Linked DNA regions of Macaca mulatta. The protein of the gene in region 1 binds, or shares a complex with, the protein of each later gene. Links are inferred from orthologs where the notes say so. Each region holds a gene or a part of one and is shown on either strand. Other genes may lie near its edges.

The links.
Region 2: the proteins of KDM4A (region 1) and H3-4 are in contact, whole or in part, in a crystal structure (PDB 2YBP), measured with the Homo sapiens proteins. The link is inferred for Macaca mulatta from reciprocal best matches to the Homo sapiens genes KDM4A and H3-4. Residues at the interface, in NP_055478.2 of Homo sapiens: Ile71, Tyr85, Asn86, Ile87, Gln88, Ala134, Asp135, Val160, Ile166, Thr167, Ile168, Glu169, Gly170, Val171, Tyr175, Tyr177, Glu190, Asp191, His240, Lys241, Met242, Ser288, Thr289, Asn290, Arg309, Asp311, Met312, Val313, Lys314, Ile315; in NP_003484.1 of Homo sapiens: Ala32, Thr33, Gly34, Gly35, Val36, Lys37, Lys38, Pro39, His40, Arg41, Tyr42.

Annotation. Positions count from the first base shown.
Region 1 is NC_133406.1:196,988,841-197,000,315, reverse strand, and holds part of KDM4A (lysine-specific demethylase 4A), read left to right. Parts: intron 1-731; coding exon 732-835; intron 836-1,230; coding exon 1,231-1,368; intron 1,369-2,050; coding exon 2,051-2,298; intron 2,299-3,077; coding exon 3,078-3,277; intron 3,278-5,778; coding exon 5,779-6,146; exon of another isoform or gene 6,147-6,512; intron 6,513-8,571; exon of another isoform or gene 8,572-9,213; intron 9,214-11,475. UniProt on the Homo sapiens protein: Histone demethylase that specifically demethylates 'Lys-9' and 'Lys-36' residues of histone H3, thereby playing a central role in histone code. Does not demethylate histone H3 'Lys-4', H3 'Lys-27' nor H4 'Lys-20'.
Region 2 is NC_133406.1:86,173,755-86,185,325, reverse strand, and holds H3-4 (histone H3.1), read left to right. Parts: upstream 1-5,054; 5' UTR 5,055-5,768; coding exon 5,769-6,179; 3' UTR 6,180-6,723; downstream 6,724-11,571. UniProt on the Homo sapiens protein: Core component of nucleosome. Nucleosomes wrap and compact DNA into chromatin, limiting DNA accessibility to the cellular machineries which require DNA as a template.

The DNA.
Region 1 (11,475 bases):
CTCGTCTGTTTGCTGGGTTGGACCCTCCTATGAGCTGTGCTCCTTGCTCTGCACTAAAATGTGCATTCCCCATGGTCAGATTCTTGCAGGTCCTGTTGCAGGCCTGCAGATGTGGGTGAGCCACATTGGTTACCTTAAGAGGGCAGTGACAGAGCCTTTTCTTCCTTTGTCCTGAGCAAGGACTTGGTCATTTCTTCTTTGATTGTCTGTGCCTCAGTTTTAATGAGCAGTGGTGTTTCTTTGACCAGCGATAATGAACCAGACCAGTATGACCGGTGTTTCCAGTAAAGACCCAAATGTTAAAGAAAAAATTGCATTTTATGCTTTGTTTCTTTTATGTGGACTTACATAGATTTGTATGTCTAGAGAACATACTTCAGGAAAGCCTGGGTAGATCATACTCTAGCTGCATTACTGAAGAAAGATCAGGGATACAAGTGACTGGAGAAAAGGTCCTAAATAGTTTCAAAGCTCTGTAAGAACAGAGTCAGCTTGGGTGACCTTGGTTTCCCAAACAGGATTTCATTACCCATGTAATGCCCTACATGGGAGTGAGCCCAGAGGCTCACTGTAGAATCTTAGAATTGGTGCGGAGCTATAGGGATCCTTGGAGGTCACATCGGTGATTCTTCCTGTTTATCATTCCGATGAGAAGCACAGGTGTGAAGTGACTCCGGATTGCAGAGCTAGTGTGGAGCACTGTGTTAACCCATACCCTTTCAATTAAATAGGCTTTTTCCCAGGAAGTGCTCAAAGCTGTGAGGCATTTCTCCGCCACAAGATGACCCTGATTTCCCCGTTAATGCTGAAGAAATATGGAATTCCCTTTGATAAGGTGAGCTGATGTTACATGCCAGAGTTCTCAGGCACCACCCTTTCTGGCCTTTTACAGAGTTTTATTCTAGTTCATCACTATAACAAGAGGGGGGCCAAAGCTTAAACTATGTAACAACCCTTTGATCTAAGAGCATTAAAGGTGGGGCCACTTTAGCTTCCAGGTGCCAGAGGAGAGTCAGATCCCCTTGAACAGTGTTCATTTGGAGGCATGGTTAATTATAGTCATGTCATCTGATATGTCTGGGCTTTGCATAATTTTATAGAAGACAGCAAGACCCCAGGGGTTTTATGACTTACCCTTTGTTGCTCAGCTAAGTTGTGGTGGAGCTCAGAATTCCAGTTCTGTGGACCTCTGCCATTTGAAGCAGCTGTTTCAAGTCTGCTCTTGTTCAGGTGACTCAAGAGGCCGGAGAGTTTATGATCACTTTCCCTTATGGTTACCATGCCGGCTTTAACCATGGCTTTAACTGTGCGGAGTCTACCAATTTTGCTACCCGTCGGTGGATTGAGTATGGCAAGCAAGCTGTGCTGGTAAGTCTGCTTGATTTCTTTCTATAACACCATGACAAAAATGAGCAAATTCTGGTTAGATACGTTGGCTGGTGATTAGAATATTTCTTTGAGTTGCTGGAATTCAGAAACGAGCAGCTAGCAGTGTGTCAGAGTACTAACATTTTGTGTTCATAAGGAATTTTAAAAAATGTGTTCAGATTTGGGAAGTATAAAATGAGGTTCGTAAGTCCATTAGGCATTAAAACCACATCCACACACGTTAATATTCTTGCCTTAGCCACTCTGAGACTTCTCTGTTGAAGTTCCTAGGGGTTTTCTTTACTCTAGGGAAGCGGCAGGGCTAGGCCTTTGACTCGTAGTAGTAGACTTGCTTGTGTGTTCCTGGCTTGGACAGGGAGCCAAGGGCAGGTGGCTCACCATCCTGGGGGCCTAAGTGCTGAGCCTAACCACCGTCTGTGGCCCCGAGTTAGTGCCCAGGTAGATTTGCCCCAGTAGTATGTATTCTCTGCCCTTTTTTCCCTGCTTCCCTTCATATTTGAAGGTCCTGCAAGGATAATATGCCCTCAGCCTGTGAACCAAAACAATCTGGTTATAAACCATCTTGCACTTGTTTCCATGTGGAGGGAGGAGCTAGGACTTGGGGGTGAGGTGGAAGCAGCAAGGTATGCTCACCTGGTGCTCTTCCGGTTCCTGCTGACAGTGCTCCTGTAGAAAGGACATGGTGAAGATCTCCATGGATGTGTTTGTGAGGAAGTTCCAGCCAGAAAGGTACAAACTTTGGAAAGCTGGAAAAGACAACACAGTTATTGACCATACTCTGCCCACGCCAGAAGCAGCTGAGTTTCTTATGGAGAGTGAACTGCCTCCAAGAGCTGGCAACGAGGAAGAGTGCCCAGAGGAGGACATGGAAGGGGTGGAGGATGGAGAGGAAGGAGACTTGAAGACAAGGTAACCCAGCAGCCCTTTGTCGTGGCTGTGTGAGGGAGAGGTGTCTGGGTAGGTCCTGTGACCTGTGGAGAGGCTGTTTCTAAGATGCTGTTTGTGCCTCGGCTGAGGGATTGTTCTTGGTAAAGGCTCCAGAAGCCGGAGAGCCAGAGCATTCAGGCACTTTCTGAATGAGAGAACTGCAGTGGGCGTGTAGTCTGCTGGAGCAAGGGGTTATTTATATGAGGGTCAAGGCATTTATGTGCGAAGGTTGGGCTCCCCCTGAGCCGGAAAAGTCATGTTTTCTCATCAGAGAGTCTTTTAAAAAGAAGTGTAGTGAGGATGAGACTCAAGGGCATTGGTAATGTTGTGATTTAAGTCTGCAGTGCCATTAGAGCAGACTTAAGAAGAGTCACCTTTTTAAGTCTGCACCAATGGGAAGCTGAGCCAGGGGATCTGTGCTCTGAGAATTTATCCTGGGCCATATGGGAAAGAAAGGAGGAACCGTTCCTTGGTACCTACTATATGCCAGGCACTTTGCCAGCTACTCTGCATACCTTTTCTTAGTCCTCACAACAAATCTGTTAGGTGGGTGGTAATACCTGTATCTTTTAGATGATGGAACAAGCTCAGAGAGGTGAAGTCCCTTGTCTCAAGTCACAAATAAGAGGTGTCCCTGAGTTTTGAGCCAGGCCTGACAGGCTCTGGCCATTCGCTTTGGGTTGTGTGTGGATGTGTAGGAATGTCTTTGAGTAAGTGGATGTATTTGTGGGCTCTTAAAAGATTTGCCCTCTCCCTTGCAGCCTGGCCAAGCACCGAATAGGGACAAAGAGGCACCGAGTTTGTCTTGAAATACCACAGGAGGTGAGTCAGAGTGAGCTCTTCCCCAAGGAGGAGCTGAGTTCTGAGCAGTATGAGATGACGGAGTGCCCGGCAGCCCTCGCCCCCGTGAGGCCCACCCATAGCTCTGTGCGGCAAGTTGAGGATGGTCTTACCTTCCCAGGTTAGTTGACTATGGTGTATTTTCCACAACCTTAACTCATACATGTGTCCCGTGTCAGATGCCATATTGAGTGCTGGGTGAGAAAGAAAGCAGAGTGACAGGTCTGTGAGCAGATAGTGTACTTGGAGTGTGGGAAGTGCTTTGGGTAGGGATGTACAGGGTGGACTGGACACGTAGGGAAAAGCTCCTCCCTCTGTCTGGTCAGGGGTCAGGGAAACACTGGAGGTTTTGGTGAAGGTGACTCTTACAAGGTAAGTAGGACCTTCCCAGGCGGACAGAGAGAGAGCAGGGATGTAGAAAGGGTGTTCCAGAGGGGAGGAGCAGGGCACAGGCGTGGAGATGGGAGAATTTTTTTTTTTTTTTTTTTTTGAGATGGAGTCTTGCTCTGTCATGCGGGCTGAAGTGCAGTGGCGCAATCTCGGCTCACTGCAACTTCTGCCTCCTGTGTTCAAGCGATTCTCCTGCCTCAGCCTCCCAACTAGCTAGGACTACAGGTGCCCGCCACCACGCCTGGCTAATTTTTTTTTGTATTTTTAGTAGAGATGGAGTTTCACCATGTTGGCCAGGCTGATCTTGAACTCCTGACTTCAGGTGATCCGCCTGCCTCGGCCTCCCAAAGTGCCGAGTGGGATTACAGGCTTGAGCCACCGTTCCCAGCAGAGATGGGAAATATTAATAGCATGGTCCACTTGGGGGAACTGGTGGGGAGTTTCCCTCAATTGAATATTAGGGTAGAAGGCAGCTGTGTGACCAGAAGGTGACGCTGGAGAAATAGGAGAGGATGTAGGGCTGTCTGCCATTTTCATTTGCTCACTTGGAAGCTTATATTTTAAGAGTGGGAGTGGTGTGATCAGTGTTGTTTAGCAGTCACTTGGAAGGTCATTGAGGCTAGATTTGTTGGAGAAAGGCTTGTATCTGTCTTGGGTCAGGTATGACGCTAAGATGTGGTCTGCTGACAGCCAGGTAGCACTGTGGACTGACGTTCTGGGCTGGGCTGGCTTCTAATTCAGCAGATTTTCTTTCCCTTTTTTCCCTTCAAATTTATTTATATTGACAGATAAAATGGTGCATATTTGTCATGTACAACATAATTTTTTTTTTTTTTTTTTTTTTTTTTTGAGACTGAGTCTGGCTCTGTCGCCCAGGCTGGAGTGCAGTGGCCGGATCTCAGCTCACTGCAAGCTCCGCCTCCCGGGTTTACGCCATTCTCCTGCCTCAGCCTCCAGAGTAGCTGGGACCACAGGCACTCGCCACTTCGCCCGGCTAGTTTTTTGTATTTTTTTAGTAGAGATGGGGTTTCACCGTGTTAGCCAGGATGGTCTCGATCTCCTGACCTCGTGATCCGCCCATCTCGGCCTCCCAAAGTGCTGGGATTACAGGCTTGAGCCACCGCGCCCGGCCACAACATAATTTTTTTGTTTTAGAAATAGGGTCTTGCTCTGTTGCACAAGCCTGTGCGAACACAGCTCACTGCAGCCTCAACTTTCCGGGCTCAAGCAATCCTCTTGCCTCAACCTCTCAAGTAGCCTGGACTACAGGCGTACGCCACCATGCCTGGCTACTTTTTTGTTTTTTGAGACGTAGTCACTCTGTCACCCAGGCTGGAATGCAGTGGCGATCTCGGCTCACTGCAATCTTTGCCTCCCGGGTTCAAGTGATTCTCCTGCCTCAGCCTCCTGAGTAGCTGGGACTACAGATGTGGGCCATCACGCCTGGCTGATTTTTTATATTTTTAGTAGAGATGGGGTTTCACCCTGTTAGCCAGGATGGTGTCGATCTCCTGACATCGTGATCTGCCTACCTCGGTCTCCCAAAGTGCTAGGATTACAGCCGTGAGCCACCGCGCCTGGCCCATGCCTGGCTAATTTTTAAATTTTGTAGAGATAGGGTCTCACTTTGTTGCCCAGGCTGGTCTTGAACTCCTGGGCTCTAGCAATCCTCCCATCTTGGCCTCCCAAAGTCCTGGGATTACAGTTGTGAACCACTTCTCCTGGTCCAACATGATTTGTGAAGTAGATATATGTTGTGGAATGGTTAAATCTAGCTGATTAAAATACATATTACTTCACATAGTTACCATTGTTGCAGTGAGAACATTTAACATACACCCTCTTAATATTTTTCAAGATCTTTAGATTTTCTAGCATGGGCTAGGTAGCCAGGTCTCTGCTGAGCTCAGACTTGTATTTCCTGCAGGAGACTTCGGAGGAAATGGCAGCTGCCCCTTACTGAGTGTCTGCTGAGTGCCAGGTGGTGCTCAGGAGTCTTATTTATGAGCCCTGCAGATATGTAGTAGCATCTTCTCACTACAGAGGAAGAAGCTGGAGGCCAGGAGGCTGAGCAGATAGCCCTGGCTCACAGTGTCCCTCAGTGACAGAGCCAGGATGGGAAGCCAGGTCCCATTCCTAGCCCATGTTCCTTGTGCTTTGCCACTCTGGCTTTCATCAGATTCACGTGTGCAGGTGGAACTTGGCTCTGTCTAACGTGTATGTGTGTTTCAGATTATTCTGACTCCACTGAAGTCAAATTTGAAGAGCTCAAAAATGTCAAACTAGAAGAGGAGGATGAGGAGGAAGAACAAGAAGCAGCAGCCTTGGATCTTTCTGTGAATCCTGCGTCTGTAGGGGGACGCCTTGTCTTCTCAGGCTCCCAAAAGAAGTCATCTAGCCTGGGCTCTGGCTCTTCACGGGATTCTGTCTCTTCTGATTCAGAAACTAGTGAGCCTCTCTCCTGCCGAGCCCAAGGGCAAACGGGAGTTCTCACTGTGCACAGTTATGCCAAAGGGGATGGCAGGGTCACTGTGGGAGAGCCATGCATGAGGAAGAAAGGGAGCGCCGCCAGAAGTATCAGTGAGCGGGAGCTGGCAGAGGTATGGGCTCCAGGCAGTGGTGTGGGCTGGGGAGCTGCCCTGAAGGACACCCTGTCGGGGAGGGGATCTGTGTTGGGGAGGTGGGTCTGTGTGGTGGAGGTGCTGCAGGAGGGCAGGAGAAACCCTCAGTCAGTGCCTCCAGCCTGCAGTGGTTGTGTCCAACAAAAGCCTGGGTGGCATTCACTCTCCCAGCTTGTTCTTTGCTGGGAGTTGCTTTTCTCTTATCCCTGTGGCTTCTGATTCCAAGAATTGCATCAATGCAGCCTCAGTCACAGCAGCAGATCCTCCTCAGCCCACTTGGATCACAATGCCTTTTTTTTTTTTTCTTGAGATAGAGTCTTGCTCTGTTGCGTAGGCTGGAGTGCAGTGGCGTGATGTTGGCTCACTGCAACCTCTGCCTTCCAGGTTCAAGCAGTTCTCCTGCCTCAGCCTCCCGAGTAGCTGGTATTACAGGCGTGTGCCACCACGCCCAGCTAGTTTTTGTATTTTTAGTAGAGACAGGGTTTCACCATGTTGGCCAGGCAGGTCTCAAACTCCTGACCTCAAGTGATCCGCCCACCTCAGTCTCCCAAAGTGCTGGAATTACAGGCATGAGCCACCGTGGCTGGCCTTTTCAGTTGGGGTGGGTGGGAACTCTTCCTCTGACCCTCATTGCCTTAGCGGCACAGGGGTTAGAATAGCTGCCATTGGAGCCCACATGTTTGGGGGTTTGGGATGAGATGAGATGAGATGGCCTTTCTTACCTTGAAATTCAAGGGTTTTTTTCTTACAAGTCTTGACTGCTCTGTAGACTCCCAGTATGACACTGATAGAACATCCTTTTGGAGACCAAGATGCATTCCCAAAGCTATAAATATGAACGTGTGTGTTCAGGCTTCCTCCATAAATATGTGTTGTCACCAAAAGCTGATTCCTGCTTTTGTGTAAAATGGCTCTTCGTGGGTCTGCCACTATGGGTGATCAGAGTCATGTCAGATGCAGCTGGACCCACACTACCCAAGGGACCTTCCCTGACTCCCCAGACTTACAGCTTATGTGGGTCAAGCTTGCAGCTTTTGATGAGGGGTGGCAGATATAAGAAGCCAGTGCAGAAGGTCCTCTTTATTCCCTATCCCCTTACCTTTAGTTTTTAAAAATTTAGCTCTTAAAAATCTTCACTATGGAAAATTTCTGAAGTATGTACAGAATACCATCACGAGCCCCCGCGTGTACTCATCATATATATGATTAGCATTTGGCACATTTGCTTTCTGTTTTCTTTGGCTGCAGTACTTGACACTCAGTCATATTCACATTTCCCTAGTGTTGCCAATAGTCCCTTTTTATGGTATGTTTATCTCCTTGTTGTTAATACTCGTAACTTTTCTCGGTGCCTTCTCTGAATCTCAGGGTACGGTTTTTGTAGACTTCCTTTTTACCTTGTGAATGTTCCTCTTTCCATCCCACTGTGGTTGCAGGCTAATGAGCTAATAACTACTGTGTTTCCTTCTCATTGCCTCTGATTGCAGTTCTCTATGCCTTCTTATGGCAGCTTCCATAAATGAGGGCTTTTTCAGCCTGGAAACCAGAGTCTCTTAAACTTCCAGTTGCCACCTAGCAATTCTTCCTTCACAGAGGCGCCGAGCCATTTCGTCCATCCTACTGTTCACTACAGTTCATGCTGTCCTCTTGCTGAGTCTTCCTGACATTCTTGTTTCTAGTTGCAATCACAATCACAAAAAGCAGCTAAGAAGTAGCAAGAGCTCACTGTATATTAAATACTTTGTTTTTCTTTTTTGAGACAGGGTCTTGCTCTGTTGCCCAGGGTAGAGTGCAGTGGCACAGTCTTGGCTCACTGCAACCTCTGTCCCCTGGGTTCAACCCATCCTTCCCACCTCAGCCTCCCAAATAGCTGGGACTACAGGTGCACCACCACTCTCAGCTAATCTTTGTATTTTCTCGGCTTATCTTTGTATTTTTGTATTTTTTGTAGAGATGGGGTTTCACTGTGTTGCCCAGACTGGTCTCGAACTCCTGGGCTCAAGTGATCCTCCTCCCTTGATCTCCCAAAGTGCCATGATTTCAAGTGTGAGCCACTGTGTGCCCCACCGCCCCCAGCTATTAAATACTTTATATGCATTGTTTAGTCTTTGTATTACTGGTTAATTAATCTTATTACAGAGTCAAGTTTTTGTGGGATTTTTTTGGGGTGGAGGTGCAGGAAGCCAATAAATAACACTTGTCCTTTTTCCTCTCAAATTTGGAACTATTTAATTGATGATACAAGAGTCAGGCATATGGAGCTCAGAATGTTGCTTTACTTACAAGTTAAAATGATTGAAGAAAGTGACTTTTAACCTGTGGCCAAATGGCCCTGCTACCCATTTACTCTTTTTTTTTTTTTTTTGAGACTGAGTCTCGCTCTGTTGCCCAGGCTGGAGTGCAGTGGTGCAATCTTGGCTCACTGCAAGCTCCGCCTCCCGGGTTCAGGTGATTCTCCTGCCCCAGCCTCCCCAGTAGCTGGGATTACGGGCATGCATCACCACTCCTGGTTAATTTTTGTATTTTTTTAGTAGAGATTTCACCATGTTGGCCAGGCTGGTCTGTAACTCCTGAGTGCCCGCCTCAGCCTCCCAAAGTGCTGAGATTACAGGTGTGAGCCATCGCGCCTGGACTACTCATTTACTCTTGATGTCTCCAGGCCCCTCTAGAGGCAAAGCATTTCCATGGAAGCACTCAGCTTCCATGTGGTGTGGACATAGGCCAGAATGCACTCCCTCTCCAAAAGACAGATCCTATTGAAGTGAATCACAGCTTTTAAGGGGGTGGGGAGAAGAAAAGCCAGGACTCTTTCCATGTGGAAGTATGCTGGGGGAAGGGGTCTTCTCTCTGACATGTCTCTCTTTTTCAGTCCTCTGCTCAAAAACCCTTGAGTGTCTTCTTGGTTCCTTTTTATTTCTGTATATACTTCTCAGGTCTAGCCTGATGATAATACCCTAATACCCTCTCTGCTGCATTGCCATCCATCCCTCCACCTCCAACATGTGCTAGCTTGTTTGTCTGAACTACTTAAAAGTCTCTAAAACTGTTTTGGCTGCCCTGCCTCTTCACTACTTTGTAATCATTTACAGCATGCCTGCTCTAGGCCAGGACTGTGCCTTCAAGGAACTCATAGTCTAGGAGAGATAGATAAGAGCAAATCATTCCAGTACTAATGATACGTGTTGTGGTACAAGTGGGAGAGTTAGCAGTTCAGCTTGGGGTTGCAGTGTGGATTTCAGGACTGCCCGAGAGAAGGAAACAGTTTAGGCCTGAGGTTAGAAGAATGCCAGGTGGATAGAAGGAAATCGAAGAGAGAATCTGGGAGAGTAGGATGTTCTAAATGCTCATGATAGCTCATGCCAGCATCAAAGCACTTGGGGATCTGCAGTGGTTTAGTTTGTCTCAGGTGTATAGGGCTAGAGAGGGCCTCAGGTGGTGCTTTTGGAGGATATCAAGAGCCAGAACCTGGAGGGTCTGCCTTGTTGCTCTGTGAAGCAGTTTGACCTCCTAGTTACAGTGTAGGGAGCAGCAGAAGGGTCCCCACCATATGCACCGTATGGGTTTGGAAATTGAAAGCTTTCATAATTCATTCTTTTAAATGCACACACAAAGGGCCGGGTGTGGTGGTGCATGCCTGTAATCCTAGCACTTTGGGAGGCCGACATGGGTGGATCACATGAGGTCAGGAGTTCAAGATCAGCTTGTCCAAAATAGAAAAATTAGCTGGGTGTGGTGGCGGGTGCCTATAATCCCAGCTGCTTGGGAGGCTGAGGCAGAAGTGCTTGAACCCCGGGGCGGAGGTTGCAGTGAGGTGAGATCACACCACTGCTCTCTAGTCTGGGTGAAAGAGTGAAACTTTGTCTCAAAAAAATAAATAATAAATGCACACACAAAGATTCAGAGGGAGGCCACGCAGGGTGCCGTGCACCTGTGGTCCCAGCACTTTGGGAGGCTGAGGTGCAAGAATCGCTTGAGCCCGAGAGGTTGAGGCTGCAATGAGCCATGACTGTACCATTGCACTACAGCCTGGGTGGCAGAATGACACAATATCTTAAAAAAGAAAGATGCAGAGCAAATAATACAGTGAACCCACAAATAAATTTTTTTTTTTGAGATGGAGTTTTGCTCTGTCGCCCAGGCTCGAGTGCAGTGGCATGATCTGGGCTCACTGCAGCCTTCACCTCCCGGCTTCAAGCAATTCTTTGCCTCAGCCTCCTAAGTAGCTGGGATTACAGGCGCCTGCCACCACGCCCGGCTAATTTTTGTATTTTTAGTAGAGACGGGGTTTCACTATCTTGGCCAGGCTGGTCTTGAACTCCTGACCTCATGATCTACCCACCTCAGCTTCCCAAAGTGCTGGAATTACAGGTGTGAGCCACTGCGCCCGGCCGAACCCATAAGTATTCTAACAGGTGTCAGGATCTTTCCATATTTGCTTTGTTTGTCCTATTTTCAATTTGCCGAAGTATTTATATTAAAATTATATTATCTTTATTAGTTTATAATGTACATATTTTTGGGGTACATGTGATATTTTAATACATTAATTTGTGAAGATTAAATCAGTGTAATTGGGAAATGTATCACCTTAAATATTTGTCTTTATGCTAGAAACATTCAAATAATTCTAACTATTTTGAAATGTACAATAGACTATTGTAAACTAGTCACCCTACTGATTTGTCAAACACTAGGTCTTATTTTTTCTATCAAACTATATATTTGTGCCCATTAATCTGCCTCTCTGCTGGAGTATTTTAAAGCACATCCCAGATACCTTGTCATTTCTTCCCTACTTCAGTGTGTATCTTTGAAAAATATGGTCACAGGCCGGGCGCGGTGGCTCAAGCCTGTAATCCCAGCACTTTGGGAGGCCGAGACGGGCGGATCACGAGGTCAGGAGATTGAGACCATCCTGGCTAACACAGTGAAACCCCGTCTCTACTAAAAATACAAAAACTTAGCCGGGCGAGGTGGCAGGCGCCTGTAGTCCCAGCTACTCGGGAGGCTGAGGCAGGAGAATGGCGTGAACCCGGGAGGCGGAGCTTGCAGTGAGCTGAGATCCGGCCACTGCACTCCAGCCTAGGTGACAGAGCGAGACTCCGTCTCAAAAAAAAAAAAAAAAGAAAAAAAAGAAAAATATGGTCACTTTCAGCTGGGTGCGGTGGCTCACGCCTGTAATCCCAGCACTTTGGGAGGCCGAGGGGGTGGATCACCTGAGGTCAGGAGTTCGAGACCAGCCTGGCCAACATGGTGAAACCTCATCTCTACTAAAAATACAAAAATTAGCCGGGCATGTTGGCGGGTG
Region 2 (11,571 bases), about 110 Mb from region 1:
GAGTCTTGCTCTGTCGCCCAGGCTGGAGTGCAGTGGCATTATCTCTGCTCACTGTGACCTCCGCCTCCTGGGTTCAAGCAATTCTCCTGCCTCAGCTTCCTGAGTAGTTGGGATTACAGGTACATGCCACCATGCCCAGCTAAGTTTGGTATTTTTACTAGAGACTGGGTTTCACTATGTTGGCCAGGCTGGTCTTGAACTCCTGACCTCGTGATCCACCCTCCTCGGCCTCCCAAAGTGCTGGAATTACAGGTGTGAGCCACCGCGCCCAGTTGGCTTCTGGAATTCGTAAGAATAGACAGGGCATATCTGAAGCCCTGTCTAGACAATGTTTTTGTTGGTATTATGAATTGATGGTGCACAGTTACTACTAAATACACATAATCTGTGTAAAGAAGGAGAAAGTTACTATATGAGAGCTTCAGCACTCCCCTGACATGAAAAAGAGATGAGCACTTCATCCCTTTTACCTTGCTGTACTCATCCAGGCTGTATCCATTTAGTCCAGTTCCAGGTGAGGATGCTGATTTCTATCAAATAGCCTTTCTGGGATTTCTAAGACTCAAGAGAGAACATAAGATTGCATACTGTGTGTCAATAGTTCAGACTTTCAGAAAGAATGAAATTCCTCATCTGCATTTCCTCCTTTCTATCAAGAATCCCATCGTAGTTACCATGTTTATTATACCATTAAGGAGGAGGAGGGGGTCGGCCCGAGTGCACAAAATCAACAGTCACACTAGGAGCTGGTATTGTCAGCTATTCCCCTTGTTTTTTCATACTAACTTATTTTCTCTCCACATTTTTGTCTTGTAGATTCAGAAATCCCTGCGCCAACTAGAACCCTTTGAAACTAACCCTGACTATCATCAACAAGGAATGTGGCTGCTTCCATAGCATATTTGAAGTACAGAACTCAAGAAAATGCTTCCTACTGATGGAGTTTCCTGCAGAGTGGGCCGGAGAAGTGGGGTGCCAGATGGAAGGGCATATTGGATGGAGAGAGAAGGCATTCTTTCTAACAGTGGGAAACCCTAGTGCACACTGGCTTTGCAAGAGTCTTTGGAGGACAGAGCTCACCATTGCTTTGTGCACTTTTTACCCCCGACCTAGAAGGAGTGCCTGTTCCTGTAAGACCCCCTCTCTGCGCTTACAGTGAGTTTGTGAAAGTTCAGATGGTTTCAGCCTTGCTGCTGCCCAGACTAAGGAGAAATGCCAATTGATAAATTGGACAAGCGATAGCATGTTGTTGGCTGATAGGAGTGCTCCTAGAGATGATGCAACATGACCAACCATGTAGGACCCCCAAATCTCAAAGAACTTTAACAAGAGGACACAAGGCCCATTATTGCCCCAGCTGTACATACAAAACCATGGGCAGAGAGAATGAGGAGACAGAGAACACACACTGATTTACCGAATGCGTGAGGCCTTGACAGACCAGTTCCTTGGGAGGAATGTTTATATCTCACACTTTCTTCAGTTTGCAGAGGAAATCTCTCCTCTTGGGAAGTTTTCAGGGGACATTTTTCTATGGGTCTTGGTCCTTCTGGGGGTTTTAACAACATAGAACACAATGATTGGAGATCGAGAAAATGAACTGTTCGGCTGATCATCTAAAAAGAGCTTTTACATGTAATATAGAGGCTGTTCTCAAGCCTTGCCAGGGGTGGGTGGGTCCGCATTTAGGCAGCCCTGCATTCTGTGCTTCGTGTGAGTGTGCATTTGTTTGCTCAGACACATAGAACCAGGTGGCATCCTGTGCTATGTCTGGGTGGTTTGGGGGCTCAAAGCCCCTGAGAATCTAAAGGCAAAAGCCCTTATGACTGGAAAAGTGAGGTCGCAGACATATGCCCAAAACCTATGAGCCTCTTGGATGCACTCAGAGAACTGGCCAAGCCTGTGCCATGCTCCGCAGAGAGGCCTGGGCAGAGTCATGAGGCAGAAAGGGCTGCTTTGCAGGTGCTCCTGGGGAGGTCGCTGCAGGTGCTCCTGGGGAGGTCGCAGCAGCTGCTGGTAATCCATCATCCGCCCATCATCAGCCCCATTAGCCCTAAGGACACCTGGAGAGTCCCAAGGCTGCCCCTCTCGAGTGAGAGACAGCTCCAGGAAGATCGAACATGTCCAAATCCTCACAGGCAGTTAAACGGTTGAGCAGCATCTGGTCTGGCCAGGTCAGACCCCACATCGTTTACACCAGGGGTGAGCCTGGGTGGACTTCACAGGTGGATGGTCCTAGGGTCCTTCCACATGTCTGACCAGCCAACCAGACCCGATGAGCAGAGAGCAGCAGGCCTTCTGTGTAAAAACCACTGTCCAATAAAAAAACCAATCCAGACTTAGTAAGCAGAGATCTTTATGCAAAAGGATATCGCAACAGGAGACACCAGAATACTGCAATAGGGAGAAAGCATTGACCTTAAGGTCTGCAAGCTCTCAAAGGTGACGCAGAGGAGTTTTCTCATATAGGGAGGAATGAATGCGGCTGGAAAGAACCAGGTCTGGGGAAGTGGGGTGAAGGGTGGCTGAGGGGACAAGAGATTGAGGATACTTTACCCTGAGCCTGGCCTGCTCCAGGAGGGGCCAAACATCAGGGCCCTGGGGGAGGGGAGAAGCTGAACCAAGGCTGGGCAAACAAGCACCTTGTGTGGATTGACCCATGGGGACAAGGGGTTCAGGTAGTAATTGATAAGACAAAGATGGCAATGTAGTGGGTGCTATAGTTTGAATAAGGTATTTGTCTCATTAATTCTCATGTTGAAATTTAATCTCCAGTGTTAGAGGTGCAACCTGGTGGGAGGTGCTTAGGTCCTGGGGGCAGATCCTTCATGAATAGACTCCTGCCCTCCCTCGTGGGGAGTGGAGTTCTTGCTCTATTAGTTCCTGCCAAAGCTGGTTGTTAAAAAGAGCCCAGTACCTCCTCCTCTCTCTTTCCCTGTGACCTCTGCACACAGGGGCTCCCCTTCATCTTCCATCATGAGTGGAGGATTCCTGAGGGCCGCATCAGAAGCAGATGCTGGAGCCTTGCTTCTTATAGAGCCTGCAGAACCATAAGCTAAAAAATGTTTTGATAAATAACCCAGCCTCTGGTATTCCTTTACAGCAATGCAAAACAGACCAAGACAGTGGGCCTGTCATGCATCAACAAGGGGCGCTGTAGGGGAGGCAGAATTCTACCTCCCTTATCTTAGGGTCCAGGCTGGGCCCAAGAATTAGACTGACATTAGAGAGATGAGCAGGAGAAAAACATACAGTTATTTAATACAAATTTAATGTGACACAGGAGCCCTCATAAGGAAATGAAGATGCAAAGATGCAGTTAGGATCACTTATATACAGAGGTGGACAAACACTAGTAAGTTGTGAGATTTGATAAGGCCACGGGGCTTGGGTGAGGATAGTCAATGGGGTGAAGAAATGACTAGGTCAAAATGCTTACACACTAGGTTGAACAAAGAGTAGTAACTGTGGCAACAACTAGGAAGATAAGGGTTAGTTTAATAAAGTTTGTTTGTATAGATTTCTCTTGGCTTCTGTCTTAGTCTGTTTCGTGTTGTTAAAGGAATACCTGAGACTGGATGATTTATTGGAAAAAAAAAAAAAAGGTATTGGCTTATGGTTTCCCAGGCTGTACAAGAAGCACGGTGGCTGGGTGCAGTGGCTCACGCCTGTAATCCCAGCTACTCGGGAGGCTGAGGCAGGAGAGTTGCTTGAACTTCCCGGGAGGCGGACGTTGTAGTGGGCTGAGATCACACCACTGCACTCCAGCCTGGGCAACAGGGTGAGACTCAGGTCAAAAAAACAAAAAAAGCACGGTGGCCCAGCATGGTGGCTCAAGCCTGTAATCCTAGCACTTTGGGAGGCCAAGGTCGGGGGATCAGTTGAACTCAGGAATTCAAGACCAGCTTGGTCAACATAATGACAGCCCATCTCTCCAAAAAATTTAAAAATTAGCTGGATGTGGTCCCAGCTACTTGGGAGGCTGAGGTAGGAGGGGCCTGGGCAACAGAGCAAGACTGAAAAAAGAAAGAGAGGAGGGGAGGGGAGGGAAGAAGATAAAAAGAAAGGAAAGGAAGGAAGGAAGAAAGGGAGCGAAGAAGGGAGGGAGGGAGAGAGAAAGGAAGGGAGGGAGGGAGAATGGAAGGAAGCAAGTATAGGGCCCACCTCTGCTTCTGGTGAGGGCCTCTGGCTGCTTCTGCTCATGGTGGAAGGTGAAGGGGAACCCATGTGTGTGCAGAGGTCACAGGACTGCACAAGAGAGGAAGCCAGAAAGAGAGGGGAGGGGAGTGCCAGGCTCTTTTCAACAACCAGCTCTTCAGGGAACCAACAGAGTGAGAACTCACCCTAAAGGAGGGCAGGACTCTATTCAGAGGGTGACACCTCCAGGACCCACACACCTCCCACTGAGCCCCGGCTCCAACTTTAGGGATCAAATTTCAGCTTCAGAGTTGGAGGAGATTTGGAAGCTTCCACCTTCTGGTCCTTGATGATAAGAACGTTCCCTTCCTTTTACTATAAGGAGAACATCTTTCATAGGGGAATTCTATTTCTTGCCTTTAAGAAACAACAAGAAATTCAGAATGATCTTCCTACACCTGCCTCTTTTTTTTTTTTTTTTTTTTTTTAAGTGCCTTTATCTCAAAAGAGTTAATATGCCAGAAAGGCATATCTTTACCTTCTTCAGCATCCTAAGGCTCATCTGAGCCATACAGCAAAGGGAGTTCTTTGCAGGTCATAAAAAGTGGAAGACTCCTTTAACTCTGGTTGGATCCCAGAGCTGTATCACTGTGTAAAAGTGGAATGCCGGCTGGGCGCGGTGGCTCACGCCTGTAATCCCAGCATTTTGGGAGGCTGAGGCAGGTGGATCACGAGGTCAGGAGATCGAGATCATCCTGGCTAACATGGTGAAACCCTGTCTCTACTAAAAATACAAAACAAAATTAGCCGGGTGTGGTGGTGGGCGCCTGTAGTCCCAGCTATTTGGGAGGCTGAGGCAGGAGAATTGCCTGAACCCTGGAGGCGGAGCTTGCAGTGAGCCGGGATTGCGCCACTGCACTCCAGCCTGGGTAACAGAGCGAGACTCCGTCTCAAAAAAAAAAAAAAAAAGTGGAATGCCAGCTGGGCCTGGTGGCTCATGCCTGTAATCCCAGCACTTTGGGAGGCCGAGGCAGGTGGATCACCTGAGGTCAGGAGTTTGAGACCAGCCTGGCCAATATGGTGAAAACCCATCTCTTTGTGGTGGATACCTGTAATCCCTGTAATCCCAGTTACTTGGTAGGCTGAGGCAGAAGAATCGCTTGAACCTGGGAGGTAGAGGTTGCAGTGAGCAGAGATCGCGCCATTGCACTCCAGCCTGGGCAACAAGAGTTAAACTCCATCTCAAAAAATTTTTTTAAAATTAATTTTTAAAAAAAGTGGAATGCCGCATGCTGGCTTTCGGAAGGCTCTTCCCACCCAAGTCATGAGGAAGGGAGAAGAGGATTGCTGAGGAGACACGAGGAAGCTTGTGCTGGAGAGAGATGATCTCCACCGCCGTGGCCTACCCGCATCAACCCTTCACAATGCTGGTGCTAGCTCTGGTGGCCACGACCAACAAGCACTAATATAAGGGAGAGGCGGCCGAGTGGCGTGCCCTGTGGACCAATCAGAGAGTAGGGGGCCATCACGCCACCTGAGGCCAGCCAATGAAAACGCGGCAAGCTCTATAAAAGCGGGCAATCAGCTTAGGTCTGGTCAGAGGACACAGCAGAGACAACAGTTTCAAATTCATGGCCCGAACCAAGCAGACTGCGCGCAAGTCGACGGGTGGCAAGGCGCCACGCAAGCAGCTGGCCACTAAGGTGGCTCGCAAGAGCGCACCCGCCACTGGCGGCGTGAAGAAGCCGCACCGCTACCGACCTGGCACAGTGGCGCTTCGCGAGATCCGCCGCTACCAGAAGTCCACTGAGCTGCTAATCCGCAAGCTGCCCTTCCAGCGGCTGGTGCGCGAGATCGCTCAGGACTTTAAGACCGACCTGCGCTTCCAGAGCTCGGCCGTGATGGCGCTGCAGGAGGCGTGCGAGTCTTACCTGGTTGGGCTGTTCGAGGACACCAACCTGTGTGCCATCCACGCCAAACGGGTCACCATCATGCCCAAGGACATCCAGCTGGCACGCCGTATCCGTGGGGAGCGGGCCTAGGAGGGCCATCTCGCCACCTGAGAGGTTGCGCAACGTTCACCCCAAAGGCTCTTTTAAGAGCCACCCACCTGGTCGGAAGAGTTGCTGTAGCAAGCCAGGCTCTTGGGTTTTGGGGGTTCCTTCCGCTGGCCGGTGCTGGCTTACCTAATTCTGATTAGGGTGGGAGGCTGGCGAATCCTGTGTTCACCCTGTCCAGTTAGGAGGCCAGCTACTCATGCGCGTTACCTCCCAGCCTGTCTCCAGTTACAAGTCCAGCTAGTCGTGTGTGGTGCTAACTTGGTCTATCCCTTTAGATAAGAATCATGGTTGGTCTGTTTGGGGACGGGGTGTTGAGGGTAGCGTAACTGGCCTATCTGCAGTTAGGTAAGCAACCCCAGCTAGTTGTGTCAACTCAGCCTATCTACAGTTAGGTTGGAAGGCTGGCTGGTCTTGTGTGTTCTCAGCTCAGCCTCTTTCAAACTGTTACAAGTCCTGCGTGTGTGTGTGTGTGTGTACACACAGCTTCTTTCCAGTGAGGTTACCAGTCCAGCTAGTCTCCTACCTAGACAGCCTGTTAAGGCCAGCAAGTAGTATGTGTTATCTTGGCCTATTTTCAGTTAGAAGTCCAGCTACTTCACCAGCGTGGCAGCTCAGGTCTGTAATCCCAGCACTTTGGGAGGCCAAGGCGGGTGGATCACCTGAGGTCAGGAGTTCCAGACCTGCCTGGCCAACATGGTGAAACCCCATCTCTACTAAAAAGACAAAAATTAGCCAGGTGTGGTGGCACATGCCCGTAATCCCAGCTACTTGGGAGGCTGAGGCAGGAGAACTGCTTGAACCCAGGAGACAGATGTTGCAGTGAGCCAAGATCATGCCACTGCACTCCAGCATGGGCAACAGAGCGAGACTCAGTCTCAAAACCAAAAAAAAAAAAAAAAAAAAAAACAAAGTCCAGCTACTTGTGTGTGTTAACTCAGCCTACCTCCTGTTAATTTAGAAAGCTGGCTAGTTGTATATCTTGTTAACTTGGGCTATCTCCCATTAGGTTAGAAGGCTGGCTAGGGGTGTGTGTGTGTGTATGTGCGCACGTGCACGTGTGCCCATGTGCACACACATATGTAGCTGTGATGTTGGCCCATCTCCAGTTAGAAGTCCACGTCATTGTATGTGTTAACATACCCAATCTCCCATTCAGTTAAAAGGCTGGCTAGTCATGTATGTTGTTAATTCACCCTATCTTCTGTTAGGGTAGATGACTAGCTAGTTGCGTGTGAGAAGCGCAGCCAGGCATGTGCATTGTTAATTCAGCCTAAGTGAAATCAATACTGGGAAACCCCAGCCTAAAGTTCAAAGAGGGCACTCTGCCCTGGAAGTCAGCTTACTGAGCAGTCGCAGACAGGGGTGGCCCATGTGCCCGGCACTTTGAAACAGGCTTCCCAGTGCCACAAAGTAGTCTGGCAGTGCTCTGGGGATGAGAGACACAGAGACCAACTTGCTGAGAAATCCTACAGCTAGGGCAGCAGGCCACAGATCCAATAGTAGACTTATGTCGGGAAAACCTGAGGATGGCTGTGAGGATAAGGATGTAGGGATTGTCTCCCTCTGGTACAGGTTGGAATCATTTATTTGTTAAAGGCTTTATTAAACTGAATGAAGCCAAGCACTACCCCATGCTGGGATCATGGAGGGAATAAAATCCATTTCCTGTGGGAATAAAATCCAATCCCAGAATGGGCTGCTGCCCACTCTGCTTTCAAGGTGCTTATGCTTGAGTGAAGGGGGCCTGTATTGTGTGTAGAAGCAATGATAGTAAAAGATGCTCTTAAACATAGCAAGGGGTGTGCGCAAAACGCTATCAATAGGCAACAGTGGATTTTATAAGTCTCTTTGAATCCAATTTATAGCCTGTAGACTCAAAATTCAAAAGCTTCATCAATTTATTAGTACACACACAACTGAACATCATACCTTTTAAATCTCAGGATATATTTAAACTTATGAGTGCCAAATCCTTGGAGAGCTATCCAGAAAGCCTAGAATATTCAGGGAGAGCTGTGTTCTGGTTTTGAAAGTCAGTTCTGACTTTCAATACTAGACTCTTTTGGGATAAATTTAAGTTTTCCCTTTTTGTTTTTTTTTGTTTGTTTGTTTGTTTGTTTGTTTTGAGACGGAGTCTTGCTCTGTCGCCCAGGCTGGAGTACAGTGGCCGGATCTCAGCTCACTGCAAGCTCCGCCTCCCGGGTTTACGCCATTCTCCTGCCTCAGCCTCCCGAGTAGCTGGGACTACAGGCGCCCGCCACCTCGCCCGGCTAGTTTTTTGTATTTTTTAGTAGAGACGGGGTTTCACCGTGTTAGCCAGGATGGTCTCGATCTCCTGACCTCGTGATCCGCCCGTCTCGGCCTCCCAAAGTGCTGGGATTACAGGCTTGAGCCACCGCGCCTGGCCCCTTTTTGTTTTGTTTTTTCAGAGACAGGGTCTTGCCATGCTGCCCAGGTTGAAGTGCAGTGGCTATTCACAGACATGAGCATAGTGGCCAGCCTCGAACTCCTGGGCTCAAGCCATCTTCCTGCCTTAGCCTCCCAAGCAGATAAAGTTCAAGTCTTCTATACTTTACAAAGCCCTTGTCCTGATAAAGTCTTGCCCAGTGGTGGAAAGCTAAACCTATGTAACCTTGCTGATGATCTTGCTGGGCAGCCTGGAAGGAGCAGTAATTTGGGCAGCTAGCTACATTTACGTAACTGGATGCAGATAATGCATTCTTGACAGGATCATGATCAAGCTTTGCCTTCTGTAGGACACCAAGCCACTTGAGCAGCCCCCTGTCATTCTGGTCTTTGTATGAGAACAGAGCCTAAGTTTGGCAGTGTGGCACATGCCTGTAATCCTAGCTACTGGGGAGGCAAGAGGATAACTTGAGCCCAGGAGTTTTTGAGGCCAATCTGGGCAACAGACCCTGTCAAAAACAACAACAACAAAACAAAACAAAGAACAAAACAAAAAAACAACAACAAAAAACAAGAGCTTGGTCTTATATGTTCCTTGTTTTCACTGTTTAATGGAGTGGATAGTGCACGAATTGATGCCCTATAAAGATATAACAAGGCAACACAGGGCAATTTGTACATCAGAACTGACTGCTGAGGACCTAAGGTGAGGAGCTAAGGAAAGAAGTTTAGACACAGGAAGAAAGTAACCGAAGTCTTTCTGGGTTGTGTAAGCGGGTATTTGAGGAAGCCTTTCCAGCCAGGCATGGTGGTTCATGCATGTAATTCCAGCTTTTTGGGAGGCTGAGATGGGAGGATTTCTTGAGGCCAAGGAGTTCAAGACCAGCCTGGACAACATGGCAAGACTCTGTCTCTATAAAAAATATAAAAATTAGCTGGGCATGATGGCATGTGCCTGTGGTCCTAACTACTTAGAAGGCTGAGGTGGGAGGATCGCTTGAGCCCAAGAGTTCCAAGTTACAGTGAGCAGTAAGCAGTGATCACACCACTGCACTCCATTCTGGGCAACAAAGCCAGACCCTTACAATTACAATCAACACCTTTGCTTCTGTATCCTGCGAGTCCTAATGATGTGGGATAGTAACTGAAATGTGGTATCTGTTCACCATGTACTCAACTCTTCAAGAGCATATACACTATGGAGACAGCCTGAGCATGCAGTCTATAAAAGTGGAATGAGTGGTTCTAAATATCCAAAGGTTAAAATTCCAGAAATAAACAACAGAAAGGAGAGTTAGGCATTAAGAGATAGTGCCGCAGACCTTGGTGGACTGAACAAAGGAGGACAAATGTGGGAATAAAGACAAAGACAAAAGAGTATATTTGGATAAAGGGGTCAGGGGGCTCCTTGCTTCTAGTGAACAAGGGTCCTGAGCTGCTAGAGCCCTTCATATTTATTGAGTAAAGGAGATAGGGAGAAGGGGGTGGTTGTGGTCAGCTGCTTGACTTAGTGCAGGCCTGCATGACTACATTCTTTGAACAGTAGGCTCCAGATGTCCCAGAAGATAACCTCAAGGGGCACAGAGCCAGGGAATGAGGCCCTCAGTGTACCTTCTGGCAGCAGACACAGATGCGAGTTTGCCCACATCCTGCATTCATGATAAACAGTTTGCTGTTTAATCATATAGCTTCTAGTGGAGTGCTGAGTTGGTCACGACCCTCAGATTTTCGGCTCCCAACAAGATAGCAGAATATACCTCCCCAAAATATGCAGATTTGATATAAGAATTATTTTGAGCTGAAGGCACTTGAAGAGCAGTAGGTGTAAGAAGGGCCCTCTGGCCCCTCTTCCTGAAAGCAGGTGATGAACCCTCCATGGGAAAGGTGCTTGCCTCTACCAGGGGGAGAAACAGCATGACTAGGCATGGGGACTGAAGTGCAGTGAAATGTGTACAAACAGGCTTTGTTAAAATAGCTCTTATCACCGGGTAGAGTGGCTTACGCCTGTAATCCCAGCACTTTGGGAGGCCAAGGCAGGCAGATCACCTGAGGTTAGGAGTTCCAGACCAGCCTGGCCAACATGAAACCCCATATCTACTTTAAAAAAAAAAAAAAAAATTCAGCTGGGTGTGGTGGTGTGCACCTGTAGTCCCAGCTACTTGGGAGGCTGAGGCAGAAGAATTGCTTGAACCCAGGAGGTGGAGGTTACAGTGAGCCACGATCACACCACTGCACTCCAGGCTGGGTGACAGAGTGAGACTCTGCCTCAAACAAACAAACAAACAAAAATAGCTCTTACCTTCCTCCAGCCTCCCTGGGTATTCCAGTTGCTTTCTCATAATTACTACCCTTTATCCATCCAGTGGATAAGCACTTAGGCCTAACTGCTCTTGAGGTCTTCATTTTGCTGTGAAGGCTCCCATGTACATGTAAAAGTAAAACGTATATGCTTTCTCCCATTAATCTGTCTTCTTTCATTTTAGTCTATGCAGGCTGCTATAACAAAATGCTATGGGCTTGGTGGTTAATAAGTGACAGGACTTTATTGTTCACAGATCTGGTGGCTGGCAAGTCCAAGGTCAAGGTGCCAACAGATTCAGCTTCTGGTGAGATCCTGCTTTCTGGTTCACAGACAGGGCCTTCTCACTGTGTCCTCATGTGGTGCAAGGGGTAAGGGGAAAATAAATCTCTGGAAGGGCACCAATCCTATTCATGAAGGCTCCACCCTTATGGCATAATTACTTTCCAAAGAACCCCATCTCCTAACACCATTACCTTGGAGGTGAGGATTTCAAAATATGAATTTTGGAGACAAACATTCAGTTCATAACAATCTGGATTTGTTTTTCTGTGACCCAGTGGACTCTACTGTTGAGGAGTCTGAATTGAAGACATAAAGAGGCCATAGCTCTCTCACCCTATTTTCAGGAGCCCCTCTTCTTTTCTGTTTAATTCAGCACATTTTAAA